Linked DNA regions of Saccharomyces cerevisiae S288C. The protein of the gene in region 4 purifies or fractionates together with the protein of the main gene of each other region. This does not show direct contact. Each region holds a gene or a part of one and is shown on either strand. Other genes may lie near its edges.

Region 1 (3,414 bases), on a different chromosome or scaffold from region 4:
TTCTGTATAAAATCTGCTTGATCTGTTGGAATTAATCAATTGAAGAATAGAAGTAACTTAAATAAGAGAGTATTATATTTTCAACATTTTTTGGAGAAAACCCAGCCCAATTGCGGCTTATATATAACAATTCGTCCACACCTTCCCATAGTGCTTAAGAATGAAATTTCGTCAAAACCTCGAAGCTTTTTTTTTCGAAATCTTCGATGGAATGTTCTAGAAAAAAACTTCGAGAAAGTGAATCGGAAGAACTTCTCGGAAAAAAAAGCTTCGGAAATACTACGAATAAGGGCCCAAGAGAGAGTAAGAATGCAGTGCCATGCAGTCAATTCACCACTGTGAGACCGTAAAAGGGTTGGTTGAGTAACTCAATTCAAGGAATAAAGATATAAAATTGATAAAAAATATATAACAAATTGTAACAAAAAGCAAAAGAGAGGAGTGGAATGTTATACAAAGTAATTAGAAGGTATTGAACTTGTAAAAAGTAATAATAAAACTCAATTCTGCTTCTTGGTCACTTGTGGGGCACCGCTTAAGCGGTACTCAGACAAGCGGATCAAGCTCATTTTAATTGCATTATAAGCTCTTTTGACGAATGGTGGGATAGATGGGTGGCTTATGATCCCGTCCATTCTAACTCTCCATTGAGCAAAGGCGGCTTTCATGTACTTGGAGTTTTCGTATCTTAACTTAATAAAGATGGCGTACACAACAAGTATGATCCAAGACCTTTGGAAGCACAGAATGGCTCTGAAAAGGACCAAAATGAAAATAAGCAGCTCAGCAGTACCGACCCAGTGCATGCACAAGTCATTGTACTGAACAACAAACTTGTCGATGAAGCTGAGGATCTTACTTGAATCTTTACTGGAAAGGTGGAAGACTTTTGGTAAGAGAACTTTTTCAACGTAGATTAAAACATGGAATACAGCAAACGCGAAAAATGGGATTAAGCTGAATGAAAATCTTGGAGTGAACAACCAGAAGTTGGCCAAAACCAAATAAAGCACGTCTTCACTCTTTAGGAGTCCAGCAACGCGTGATTTTATGGAAGCCTTAGTGGCAGCGGCATCTTGAGTCTGCAATGGTTCATTGCGGGTGAAAAATTGCTGGTAAATGATGATACCGAAAGATTCGATGACACCGAGATATGCCGATCTGTAATAAAATTCTGACATCTTGAGCAGGTAAAGAATGGAGCTGATCAATACGACGGAATGACCGGTAAACCATGCAAACTGCAAGCTCTTGGCTACTGCCATGAACCTTTGCACGAGCGACTTATCTCTGGCAGGGAGGTTTGGGGGGCCTTGGTTATTAGCGGGTCTTGATGACATTATACTGACTATTCTTGGCTAGTGTTTCTTGCTCCTTATGAATAGAGAAAAATGACTTTTTTTAGATGTAGTAAGTATGTCATTTCAGGGATGGTCTGCTTGCTCTTTAAATATTTTTTCACCCTTTTAAAATGGGGCCCTTTCGCCGTACCAAAGAAGGAGAAATATACATTACGTATGTAGGTTGCTACATTTTACACAAAACTATCAATGCCTTCTAGGCTTCTTCTTGACCAGTTGAGAGAGATCATTGAAGTCACCAAGGGGCTTTTCGAGGGCGGGGAAGCCGATGGAGGTCGTGGGCTGCGAAAGAGGCCTCTTGGAGCCGTGCTGCTGATTTTCTTGCACCTCATCAATATCGTCTTGAATCTGTGCGAGCCTTGCCTGCTGTAACTCGCTGTCCTTGGGTCTTGTAGTCATGTGTTTTTCAAGCAGAGCCTTGGCATGCTTGAATCTTTTTAGTTTGTCCTTAGCCGGCACCTGATCAACCCACCTTAAAGCATCACACACCAAAAATTCTGCTTGTATCACCTTCTCAGTTACTTGTTCTGCGGGTTTCAAGGTCTTGTAATAGCCAAGCGCCTTCAAGTAATGATGAATGGCTCTACTGAACATCTCCGCCTCCCTTTCGATGTCACCCATCAGGATATACACATCACCGATGCGCAATCTGCTGTTCTCGGTTAGAGATTGGCCATCTGCTGTAGGGCGGCCCAACAGCATCAAGGCCTGCGCCAGTAGGTCCAAAGCATTCTCATACAGATCATTTTCAAAGTAAATGTGGAAACCAGACTTGCGAAGTTGCGATACGTCTTCAATTTCATCGTCATGTTCATTCGCTGGACTGAAGTTAGCCAATTCGTGCAAAGCTAAGCGTTCTTCCTCTTTCTCCACGTTTTCTTCCTCTTCTTCGCTACCTTCGCCACTGTCCTCACTATCACCACTGTCGACATCACCAGTCAAGTCTTCCTCTTCTTGGTCGAATTGGAACATCCTAGAATTAGGAATTTCTGTTTGACCGTTCTCGTTCCCCTCTTCTCCATTGCTCACATCAGACTCAGGCTCAGACTCAGACTCAGACCCAGATCCATCGTCACCTGCCAGAAGAGCGTCCCCAAACAGATTACCAGAATTCTGTACTTCCATGTTGTATACAGCTTGTGCGAATATAGTAAACAGTTCAGGATCAGGCAACAAACCATCTTTTGGGAGAGAGTCCAAAGTTTGTTGGCAGCGTTTAGCAGCTTCTAAGAACTTTTTCTGTGCGAGTAAATCTTTTGCAATTTGAACCTGTCTTTCCATATCAATTTGAACTTTATGTCTGCTAGTTCCGTTTGCCAACACGTCTTCTGCCCTTAGTTTCATATTCTGTTACTTCTAGAAGGAGACCTCATCGCCGATGTTACCTCAAAATTGAGTAGAATGAAATAATACAAAATTGGAAAAAACGCGAAACTTCAGTGCAGTAACATATCGTTCCGACATTCTCTGAGAAGTGGTAAGATTCCACTGCCGGGGAGCTACGAGTGCTCTTGCAAGTTTTTAGACACTGCTATATCCTTCGACTACGTAACCCCATTTTTTTATTTTTCTATATAAAAACATGCACTGTATACATATAATCACGTAAGTTCAAGTCGTGCTTAAAACGGGCACAGAAAACTAACTATGAGTTGCCGTACCATACATAAACTAGGAGAAGGTAGCGCAGTTCTTTTTTTTTACCAAAGGTTTGCACAAAAAAGATGGTCTAACGTAAGTAAGTTATCAATAAAACTGTTAAAAGTAGTATAAGAATCTTGAGATAGGCTTATTATTATGACTTTTTATGGCGGAAAAGGAAGAAGAAATACTGCGCCGGGTGATGCGTGACGCGTTTTTGGAAACGATGAGAATAAACTTTGAAGTATTTTGAGAATAATATTCTATTATCGAGTTCTTTCAGCAGAAAGCAACACATAGCTACGTATAGTTCGGTAAGATAAATTTGGTCAGAAGCGTGTGAAAGACGCTGAGAAACCACGTGAGACGAAGATTCAAATCAAGGCGTGAGGAATAACGCAATACGAGCCAC
Region 2 (3,786 bases), on a different chromosome or scaffold from region 4:
GATTCATTGTTACAGGTGGATCCAAATAATAGGTCGACAGCTGCAAAAGCCTTGAATCATCCCTGGATCAAGATGAGTCCATTGGGCTCACAATCATATGGTGATTTTTCACAAATATCCTTATCACAATCGTTGTCGCAGCAGAAATTATTAGAAAATATGGACGATGCTCAATACGAATTTGTCAAAGCGCAAAGGAAATTACAAATGGAGCAACAACTTCAAGAACAGGATCAGGAAGACCAAGATGGAAAAATTCAAGGATTTAAAATACCCGCACACGCCCCTATTCGATATACACAGCCCAAAAGCATTGAAGCAGAAACTAGAGAACAAAAACTTTTACATTCCAATAATACTGAGAATGTCAAGAGCTCAAAGAAAAAGGGTAATGGTAGGTTTTTAACTTTAAAACCATTGCCTGACAGCATTATTCAAGAAAGCCTGGAGATTCAGCAAGGTGTGAATCCATTTTTCATTGGTAGATCCGAGGATTGCAATTGTAAAATTGAAGACAATAGGTTGTCTCGAGTTCATTGCTTCATTTTCAAAAAGAGGCATGCTGTAGGCAAAAGCATGTATGAATCTCCGGCACAAGGTTTAGATGATATTTGGTATTGCCACACCGGAACTAACGTGAGCTATTTAAATAATAACCGCATGATACAGGGTACGAAATTCCTTTTACAAGACGGAGATGAAATCAAGATCATTTGGGATAAAAACAATAAATTTGTCATTGGCTTTAAAGTGGAAATTAACGATACTACAGGTCTGTTTAACGAGGGATTAGGTATGTTACAAGAACAAAGAGTAGTACTTAAGCAAACAGCCGAAGAAAAAGATTTGGTGAAAAAGTTAACCCAGATGATGGCAGCTCAACGTGCAAATCAACCCTCGGCTTCTTCTTCATCAATGTCGGCTAAGAAGCCGCCAGTTAGCGATACAAATAATAACGGCAATAATTCGGTACTAAACGACTTGGTAGAGTCACCGATTAATGCGAATACGGGGAACATTTTGAAGAGAATACATTCGGTAAGTTTATCGCAATCACAAATTGATCCTAGTAAGAAGGTTAAAAGGGCAAAATTGGACCAAACCTCAAAAGGCCCCGAGAATTTGCAATTTTCGTAACCAAGGACAAATACCCATAGAAAATGCTGCCCCTTTTTAAGAGAGAAGATGGTAGATACCAATACTCAGAATTCATCTATTCATAACTTTTTGGGTTTTTATTACATATAGAGTGACGTTTTGATACGATTTACATTTTGAAATATATAGATTTTTGTATATTAATAAGTTTTGATTTTCAGTTTTAGTTATGCTTAATGAATTTTTGAATCAGAAAAAGAAGTTCTGAAAAAAACATAATCCTGCTTGATGTGGTACAACAAGCTCATAAATAATTTTAAAAAGTTTGTTAATCCGTTTTCAATATCTTGAGCTCCTCAATTGTATTTGCTGAGGTCTGATTATTTCTATAACCAAAAGCGGTTATTGAATCTATGGAGAGGCTGTAACCCGTCTTATGCCTTCCGGGTACTATATTTCATTTGCGGGTGTCGATGGATTAAGGGGCGGAGGCGGCCCTTTTTAGGATTTATATAAAAAGCCATACTTCCGTACTTCGTAACCTCTTATCAACTGGTTAAGGGAACAGAGTAAAGAAGTTTGGGTAATTCGCTGCTATTTATTCATTCCACCTTCTTCTTTTTTGAGCGAAGCCTTTATAATCAAATTTTAGTGGTCTTTTCTATTTTTATTTGAGAAGCCTACCACGTAAGGGAAGAATAACAAAAAGTATATCTCACCCTACTGTATTCATAAAAAGTTTTTTCTATTAGAATTCTATAAGAAAAGAAAAAAAAAAAGCCTAGTGACCTAGTATTTAATCCAAATAAAATTCAAACAAAAACCAAAACTAACATGTTCAGCTTGAAAGCATTATTGCCATTGGCCTTGTTGTTGGTCAGCGCCAACCAAGTTGCTGCAAAAGTCCACAAGGCTAAAATTTATAAACACGAGTTGTCCGATGAGATGAAAGAAGTCACTTTCGAGCAACATTTAGCTCATTTAGGCCAAAAGTACTTGACTCAATTTGAGAAAGCTAACCCCGAAGTTGTTTTTTCTAGGGAGCATCCTTTCTTCACTGAAGGTGGTCACGATGTTCCATTGACAAATTACTTGAACGCACAATATTACACTGACATTACTTTGGGTACTCCACCTCAAAACTTCAAGGTTATTTTGGATACTGGTTCTTCAAACCTTTGGGTTCCAAGTAACGAATGTGGTTCCTTGGCTTGTTTCCTACATTCTAAATACGATCATGAAGCTTCATCAAGCTACAAAGCTAATGGTACTGAATTTGCCATTCAATATGGTACTGGTTCTTTGGAAGGTTACATTTCTCAAGACACTTTGTCCATCGGGGATTTGACCATTCCAAAACAAGACTTCGCTGAGGCTACCAGCGAGCCGGGCTTAACATTTGCATTTGGCAAGTTCGATGGTATTTTGGGTTTGGGTTACGATACCATTTCTGTTGATAAGGTGGTCCCTCCATTTTACAACGCCATTCAACAAGATTTGTTGGACGAAAAGAGATTTGCCTTTTATTTGGGAGACACTTCAAAGGATACTGAAAATGGCGGTGAAGCCACCTTTGGTGGTATTGACGAGTCTAAGTTCAAGGGCGATATCACTTGGTTACCTGTTCGTCGTAAGGCTTACTGGGAAGTCAAGTTTGAAGGTATCGGTTTAGGCGACGAGTACGCCGAATTGGAGAGCCATGGTGCCGCCATCGATACTGGTACTTCTTTGATTACCTTGCCATCAGGATTAGCTGAAATGATTAATGCTGAAATTGGGGCCAAGAAGGGTTGGACCGGTCAATATACTCTAGACTGTAACACCAGAGACAATCTACCTGATCTAATTTTCAACTTCAATGGCTACAACTTCACTATTGGGCCATACGATTACACGCTTGAAGTTTCAGGCTCCTGTATCTCTGCAATTACACCAATGGATTTCCCAGAACCTGTTGGCCCACTGGCCATCGTTGGTGATGCCTTCTTGCGTAAATACTATTCTATTTACGATTTGGGCAACAATGCGGTTGGTTTGGCCAAAGCAATTTGAGCTAAACTTTTCTTACTTCTCCGCCCTATCCTTTTCTGCCATCTAGAGAGCTTTTATAAGTAGATAACAATAAAAAAAACTATAGTATATTTAAAAAAAAAAAACAAGACAAACCATCTTGTCCTCAGTTTTAGAATCCATTGTTCTATGCTGCTGCCCATAATGTCATTATATGCGGGTAGCCCGATGATGCGGCTCGAGAATTTCCTTGTTTATCCTTTTCCAATAGCGGAACAATTGATAATAAAGCAATGTAAGCAGAAGCGAAAAATAAAAAGAAATAGGCTGCAGAGATTCACAGGCTGCGCTCTAGAAACATTTGAAATCAAGGCAAACATAGAACACTTGATAAAATTCTTACCATAATACCACCATTGATGATTCAAAAAATGAGCCCAAGCTTAAGGAGGCCATCAACGAGGTCTAGTTCTGGTTCAAGTAATATCCCACAATCGCCCTCTGTACGATCAACTTCATCGTTTTCTAATCTGACAAGAAACTCCATACGGAGCACCTCTAATTCGGGTTCTCAGTCGATTTCTGCATCTTCCACTAGAAGTAACTCCCCACTAAGATCCGTATCAGCCAAATCCGATCCCTTCCTTCACCCAGGTAGGATAAGGATCAGGCGGAGCG
Region 3 (3,318 bases), on a different chromosome or scaffold from region 4:
TCTTGTCGTGCCAGCGCGATAAGCCCATGTTACTATATTGTCAATATGTGAGTCCCTCGTTCACTATGAGACCTAGCAAAAAACAAACTGAAAGTAGGTGGCTGTTTATGTATTCATTTATTTATGGACCTTTTAGGCGCGACCCCCTCGCAAGATCTTCGTTAATGTGCATCCAAGACCCTCCCCTCATTTAGTAGACCCCGCATTGTTATGGTTAATAACGGATAGTTATTTGCCCAAGATAGCGCCTACTACACTAGGGAAACCGAACATGAATAAATTAAACAAGTAATATGTTACAACAGTGGTATAGTTATCGATTATTCTCCTATTTAAAAAATAAAACATATAAAAAAGTTAGGAAAGTATGATCTTTTAGTTCCTTGTTCTAGTATTGTAAAGGCTACAGAAGGAAACAATAAAAAAAGATTGTAGAAAAACAAAGTAAAATAAAGACTGAAAGGAAGGAAAGGGCAAAACACACACATATATAAATATATATTTAGAATACAGCTATATCCTCAATCTCCCTATTATCTGTAGAACCATCCTAAAACCAAGATAAGGAGTGCAACCAATATGAATATACCCATGCTGGATGATTCATTTTCTGCAGGTACGGTTGCGGCTTCCTTTATCTGGTTCTGTGGGGCCGGAGTGCTGTTGGACGTTTGCTTCTCATTTTCATGAGGAACGGTTTTCTGAACGACAGGTGGGACCTCTTCTTTCTTTACTTGGACGGGAGGTTGAGTTTCCGGTTCAGCAGGGACCTCCTTTTCGTTTACCACAGCAGGCACTTCCTTTGGCTCACTGTCTTGGACTACTGGTTCAACAGTTTCCTTGTTTTCCTGTATATTTTGGTTCTGTGCTGGGTGTACATCTGGACTTATCAAATATTTGACTTTTATCTTTTTAGAGATAGCCTGTTGCTTGAACTCAGCCTCCAAGTCGGACCAAACATCTGCAACAGCCTTGCCATTGAGGTCGTAAGGAGAAGGCAACGTGATAACCAGGAACTTGTCACGGCACTTAAAGTCTGCGGCAGGCTCTTCAGTCAAACCCAGGAAGATAACTTGAACCTGGATTGTTTCACCTGGAGCAACAACTGCGGCGTTTGGTCTCACGCAGTAAAACTTTGGGGCTGTGGTCTTGACCTTAAATGCAATGGTTTGGTCTGAATTGTTGGAAATACTAGCGTATTCTGTCGATTGCTCCGTTAATGGAGACTTATACACCAACACGTCAGGGGAAATTTCAACAGCAGACATACTTAGGTTCGCGGAGATTGTAGAATACCCTTCTGCTACACTATTAACACAGAATGTGCGTCAAACCACACCACACAATAAACAATGCACTTTGCTACTAAAACCATTCTATTCACCTTGCGAAAACAACAAGCGAAAAAAAAAAAGCGAGGGCGAAAGAGTAAGATCACCACGCACGTTTAGGGGATCGGAGAGCTTATCTATACAGCAACTAGAAGTATATAGAACAACAATGGTCGAACGACGGGTTAGTTTCACAGCTCAATAACCATAGAAAGGAATCGTGCATCATATGGTAGCTAGTATTAGATCAGGTGTGCTGACACTTTTACACACGGCGTGCGGTGCTGGTATCCTGGCCATGCCGTACGCATTCAAGCCGTTTGGATTAATTCCTGGAGTGATAATGATAGTGCTGTGTGGGGCGTGCGCTATGCAAAGCTTGTTCATACAAGCTCGTGTAGCTAAATACGTACCACAGGGGAGGGCCTCGTTCAGTGCTCTGACGCGGTTGATTAACCCAAATCTAGGTATTGTGTTTGACCTAGCGATCGCTATCAAGTGTTTTGGTGTGGGCGTCTCTTATATGATTGTAGTTGGGGATCTGATGCCCCAAATAATGTCTGTGTGGACCAGAAATGCTTGGCTGTTGAACAGGAACGTGCAAATTTCACTGATCATGCTTTTTTTCGTGGCCCCGCTGTCTTTTCTGAAGAAGTTGAATTCGTTGAGGTACGCTTCCATGGTGGCCATCTCTTCTGTAGCGTACTTGTGTGTTTTGGTGTTGTTGCACTATGTAGCACCATCAGATGAGATTCTTCGCTTGAAAGGCCGGATCTCCTACCTCCTGCCACCACAATCGCATGATTTGAACGTGCTAAACACTCTTCCAATTTTTGTCTTTGCCTACACATGTCACCACAATATGTTTTCAATAATCAATGAGCAGAGGTCAAGCCGGTTCGAGCATGTGATGAAGATTCCACTGATAGCAATATCTTTGGCTCTCATCTTATATATTGCGATCGGCTGTGCTGGATACCTGACATTCGGCGACAACATCATTGGAAACATTATCATGCTGTACCCGCAAGCGGTCTCGAGCACCATCGGCAGAATAGCGATTGTGTTGTTGGTGATGCTGGCGTTCCCACTACAGTGTCATCCTGCAAGAGCTTCAATCCATCAGATTTTGCAACACTTCGCCGAGGAAAATGTAAGTATAAGTGCTACATCGGCGGATGAACCCACTGTTGCTACCGAAAGTTCTCCGTTGATTCGCGACAGTAGCCTTGACCTCAATGAGGTAATTGAAGAAGAATCTATTTATCAGCCTAAGGAGACTCCATTGAGAGGCAAGAGCTTTATTGTTATAACGTGCAGCATTTTAGTTGCATCATATCTTGTCGCCATTTCGGTTTCCTCCTTGGCCCGTGTACTGGCCATTGTTGGGGCCACAGGCTCCACTTCTATTTCTTTCATTCTGCCCGGGCTCTTTGGCTACAAGCTTATAGGAACTGAGCACAAGACAGCCGTGCCATTGACGACAAAGATTTTCAAATACACAGGTCTTCTCTTGTTTATCTGGGGGCTAATAATCATGATCACCTGCCTGACCGCAGCTTTGAAGCTAAACTAAATAAGCAAGAGTATACTCATTCTTTTTTTGCTATTCCTCCATACGTACATAGACCCTTGAACCTACATATCCGCGTAAGAAACTATTAATAACCTAGCACCTGCGTTAAATCAGAAATTCTTAATCGCGTTTTACATTCCCAACGCGTTCAATCTATTTACACACAACAGCTTTCGGAGTCGGGCTTTTGCTTCATACGTATTATAAAAATTTCAGCGATTGCTGAAATATGCAAAGAACACAGGAACACGAATAAAGTCATTGAGCCTCGTTTTCAGTGAGGTATCATTGTCTATCATATCAGCTTTCTTTGCTCAACAGAATCGCTAAAAGAAAGGGCGTGTTATTAACAGTAGCCAACCCAATAATTTGAAAACAACATTGGACATTATAGATCAACGCCATCTTTTC
Region 4 (3,222 bases):
TTTGGCTAAGCAAGCTTCTGACATCTTAATCAATAAGCATCAAATCTACGTACAAGCTATCAACTTCCCTACGGTTGCTCGCGGTACCGAAAGATTGAGAATTACCCCAACGCCAGGTCACACCAACGATTTATCTGACATCTTAATCAATGCAGTTGATGATGTGTTCAATGAGCTACAGTTACCACGTGTCAGAGACTGGGAAAGCCAAGGTGGCTTATTGGGTGTTGGAGAGAGCGGATTTGTGGAAGAGTCTAACTTATGGACATCAAGCCAACTATCTTTAACTAATGACGACTTGAACCCTAATGTTAGAGACCCCATCGTTAAACAACTAGAGGTTTCTAGTGGTATCAAGCAGTAAAACAACCAATATATGCATGGGCTGAGATAGAGGTACAAGGAATTTGTAAATCAGTAAAAAAAAAAATTAACAGTTTTTTTTTTTCATTTTTTTTTTTTATTCTTATTTATGTATGATACTTTATTATTATTTCTCTTAATTATTTATTTATTTAACTAACACGATGAGCACTTTTAACTGCAATGGTTAAACTGTAGCAATGTTGGTAAAAAAGCAGGGAAAGTTCAAAAATAATTTATGTATTTTTCCTCGGGGGTACAGAAAGTAAAGAGAGAGAAACGTATGAGTATATATAGGCTAATGTAATATGTAGTGGTAAATAAAGAGACAAAAGTTAGCTATTCTTGTTTGAAATGAAAAAAAAAAAGCACTCAAGCGTTGTTTTTTTCCAATTCATTTTGCAAGTTTTTTGTACTTTTCTTCAATTCATTAGACAATTCATCGACGTTAAATTCTTGGGTAGTGGAAGGTTCGTGTTGTGGAACTTCTGGCATAACTTGAGCTGAAGATGTGTAAGCCTTAGACTCTGGTTCCAATGGAACATCAGCGGCCAACTTAGAAGTGCTGGCGGTTTGAGGACCGGCAGTAGAAGACACAGGAGCAGTCTTAGATTTGACCAAGTTGGAAATTGGGCCCAATTTAGATTCAACCTTGTCCAAGTATGGTTTTGTCTTTTCGCAAGCCATTTGAGAAAACTCTTGGGTCTTTTGCTTAGAAATTTCTACACCTTGAGCGACAGTAGCATCAATTTCATGCTTGTAGGAATGGTAGATAACTGGCAAAGTGAAGGTAAAAATGTCAGCAACAAAGACGATGGTCCAGATAGAGAACCAGGAGAAGAATTTGTGTAGTAGAAATAAGGCAACAGCGGTCTTGAAAGTGTGCTTAGGGACTTGAGCGAATACAGTCTTTCTTATGTGGGCTTGGAAGACTGGTAGCTGTTTCAAAGCTTCATCGATATGAGGCTTAATAAAGCCGGCGATATTTGGACATTCTTTAGGACCATACTTGGTGATTAAACCTTGTCCCAAAAAGAGCTTGGATACGAATTCAATAGATCCTGTTGTGAATAAGATAGTGTAGGCAACCTTCAAAAAGAAAGTGATCAAGTTAACTTTTTTCAAAATTAACAAGGCTAACAGAGACCCACCGAAATATTTACCGGTTTGAACAGGGTTCCTCCATAATAGCAAATCGCAATTACAGCTTTTTTGTTGTTGTTGTTGTTGGGCTTGGCTATGTTGAGCTGAGGCGGACATATTTGCGTGTGTGAATATATATTATATATATATACGCTTGCGGGTAGGAAGAAACAATTAAATATTTGGCTTGAGAGTTGAAAAGAAAGAGATCAAGAAAAGGGAATTGTTGAATAAAAATTTGAAAAATGCGAAGTTGAAGTGCCATAGAAGAGAAACAGCCCACACAGGGGAGAAGCCCACTGGAAAGGGGGCACTGACCAACTTTAAATAGGAAACAGAAGATACCACAAGCCAGCGATACAACAGCACCAAACACCGAAAAGAATAGCCAAAGCTGTCCTCTGGTGTTGGAAAAACTGGAAAAAACGCAACTGCGTTGGCTGCTACGGTGAAAAATTTTCCTATGACTTTTTTCACTGCTTGTTCGTGCGAAATTACCGCAAACCCGGTAAAATGTACACGTATCAAGTGATAAACAATTTCGTGTCAAGTGAGCAGAATGGAGCGATTTGGAAAAAAAAAATTTTTATTGTTTTTTCCCCCGGGATTTTGCTCGAGATGACTGAAATTTTGTAATCGATGAGTCTATACCAGAGGCAGCAAATATCACCAACATACACAGGTATACACAATCTCATGTCCACACACACGTACAGACACGCACATATATATATATATATATATATCCCCATAGGTATTTATATATACAAAAGAATCCTCGTGTGTTTGTGTGTGCAATAGCTAGTTTTGCGCTGCCTCTTATAGTAGACAATATCACTTTTTCAATAAAATAGAACTTGCAAGGAAACAAAATTGTATCGCTTCAAGATGCTACGATCAACCACATTTACTCGTTCGTTCCACAGTTCTAGGGCCTGGTTGAAAGGTCAGAACCTAACTGAAAAAATTGTTCAGTCGTATGCGGTCAACCTTCCCGAGGGTAAAGTTGTGCATTCTGGTGACTATGTATCGATCAAGCCGGCACACTGTATGTCCCACGATAATTCGTGGCCTGTAGCTTTGAAATTCATGGGGCTTGGCGCTACCAAGATCAAGAATCCTTCACAGATTGTGACCACTCTGGACCACGATATTCAGAACAAATCAGAGAAAAATTTGACCAAGTACAAGAACATCGAAAATTTTGCTAAGAAACACCATATAGACCACTACCCTGCCGGTAGAGGTATTGGTCATCAAATTATGATTGAGGAGGGCTATGCTTTCCCCTTGAACATGACTGTCGCATCTGACTCGCATTCAAACACCTACGGTGGTCTGGGGTCGCTGGGCACTCCAATAGTGAGAACAGACGCTGCAGCCATATGGGCCACGGGACAGACGTGGTGGCAGATCCCACCAGTGGCTCAGGTTGAGTTGAAAGGTCAATTGCCTCAGGGTGTTTCCGGAAAAGATATCATTGTCGCATTATGTGGGCTTTTCAACAATGATCAAGTTCTAAATCACGCCATTGAATTCACGGGTGACTCTTTGAATGCATTGCCTATCGATCACAGACTCACTATTGCTAACATGACCACCGAGTGGGGGGCTCTTTCTGGTTTGTTCCCCGTGGACAAAACTTTGATCGACTGGTATAAAAACCGTTTGCAAAAGCTGGGCACCAATAATCATCCAAGGATTAATCCAAAGACT

The links.
Region 1: the proteins of RTN1 (region 4) and POM33 purify together in Saccharomyces cerevisiae (affinity purification with western blotting; 2 studies listed by BioGRID, with this or other methods). This does not show direct contact.
Region 2: the proteins of RTN1 (region 4) and PEP4 purify together in Saccharomyces cerevisiae (affinity purification with mass spectrometry; 5 studies listed by BioGRID, with this or other methods). This does not show direct contact.
Region 3: the proteins of RTN1 (region 4) and SCS2 purify together in Saccharomyces cerevisiae (affinity purification with mass spectrometry; 2 studies listed by BioGRID). This does not show direct contact.

What each region holds. Positions count from the first base shown.
Region 1 is NC_001144.5:97,497-100,910, forward strand, and holds POM33 (nucleoporin POM33), read right to left. Parts: upstream 1,341-3,414; coding exon 501-1,340; downstream 1-500. Other genes in the region: HIF1 (Hif1p), read right to left, coding at 1,548-2,705. UniProt on the Saccharomyces cerevisiae protein: Contributes to proper distribution and/or efficient assembly of nuclear pores. Required for normal pore density in the daughter nucleus during telophase.
Region 2 is NC_001148.4:259,078-262,863, reverse strand, and holds PEP4 (proteinase A), read left to right. Parts: upstream 1-1,932; coding exon 1,933-3,150; downstream 3,151-3,786. Other genes in the region: serine/threonine/tyrosine protein kinase RAD53, read left to right, coding at 1-1,137; KIP2 (Kip2p), read left to right, coding at 3,528-3,786. UniProt on the Saccharomyces cerevisiae protein: Aspartyl protease implicated in the post-translational regulation of S.cerevisiae vacuolar proteinases. Acts on YSCB, on YSCY and on itself.
Region 3 is NC_001137.3:399,085-402,402, reverse strand, and holds SCS2 (phosphatidylinositol-binding protein SCS2), read right to left. Parts: upstream 1,269-3,318; coding exon 534-1,268; downstream 1-533. Other genes in the region: YER121W (uncharacterized protein), read right to left, coding at 1-28; AVT6 (aspartate/glutamate transporter), read left to right, coding at 1,561-2,907. UniProt on the Saccharomyces cerevisiae protein: Acts as an endoplasmic reticulum (ER) membrane anchor for cytoplasmic proteins via binding to the FFAT motif of targeted proteins. Regulates phospholipid biosynthesis by modulating the subcellular localization of the transcriptional repressor OPI1.
Region 4 is NC_001136.10:928,735-931,956, forward strand, and holds RTN1 (Rtn1p), read right to left. Parts: upstream 1,624-3,222; coding exon 736-1,623; downstream 1-735. Other genes in the region: HEM1 (5-aminolevulinate synthase), read left to right, coding at 1-364; homoaconitate hydratase LYS4, read left to right, coding at 2,395-3,222.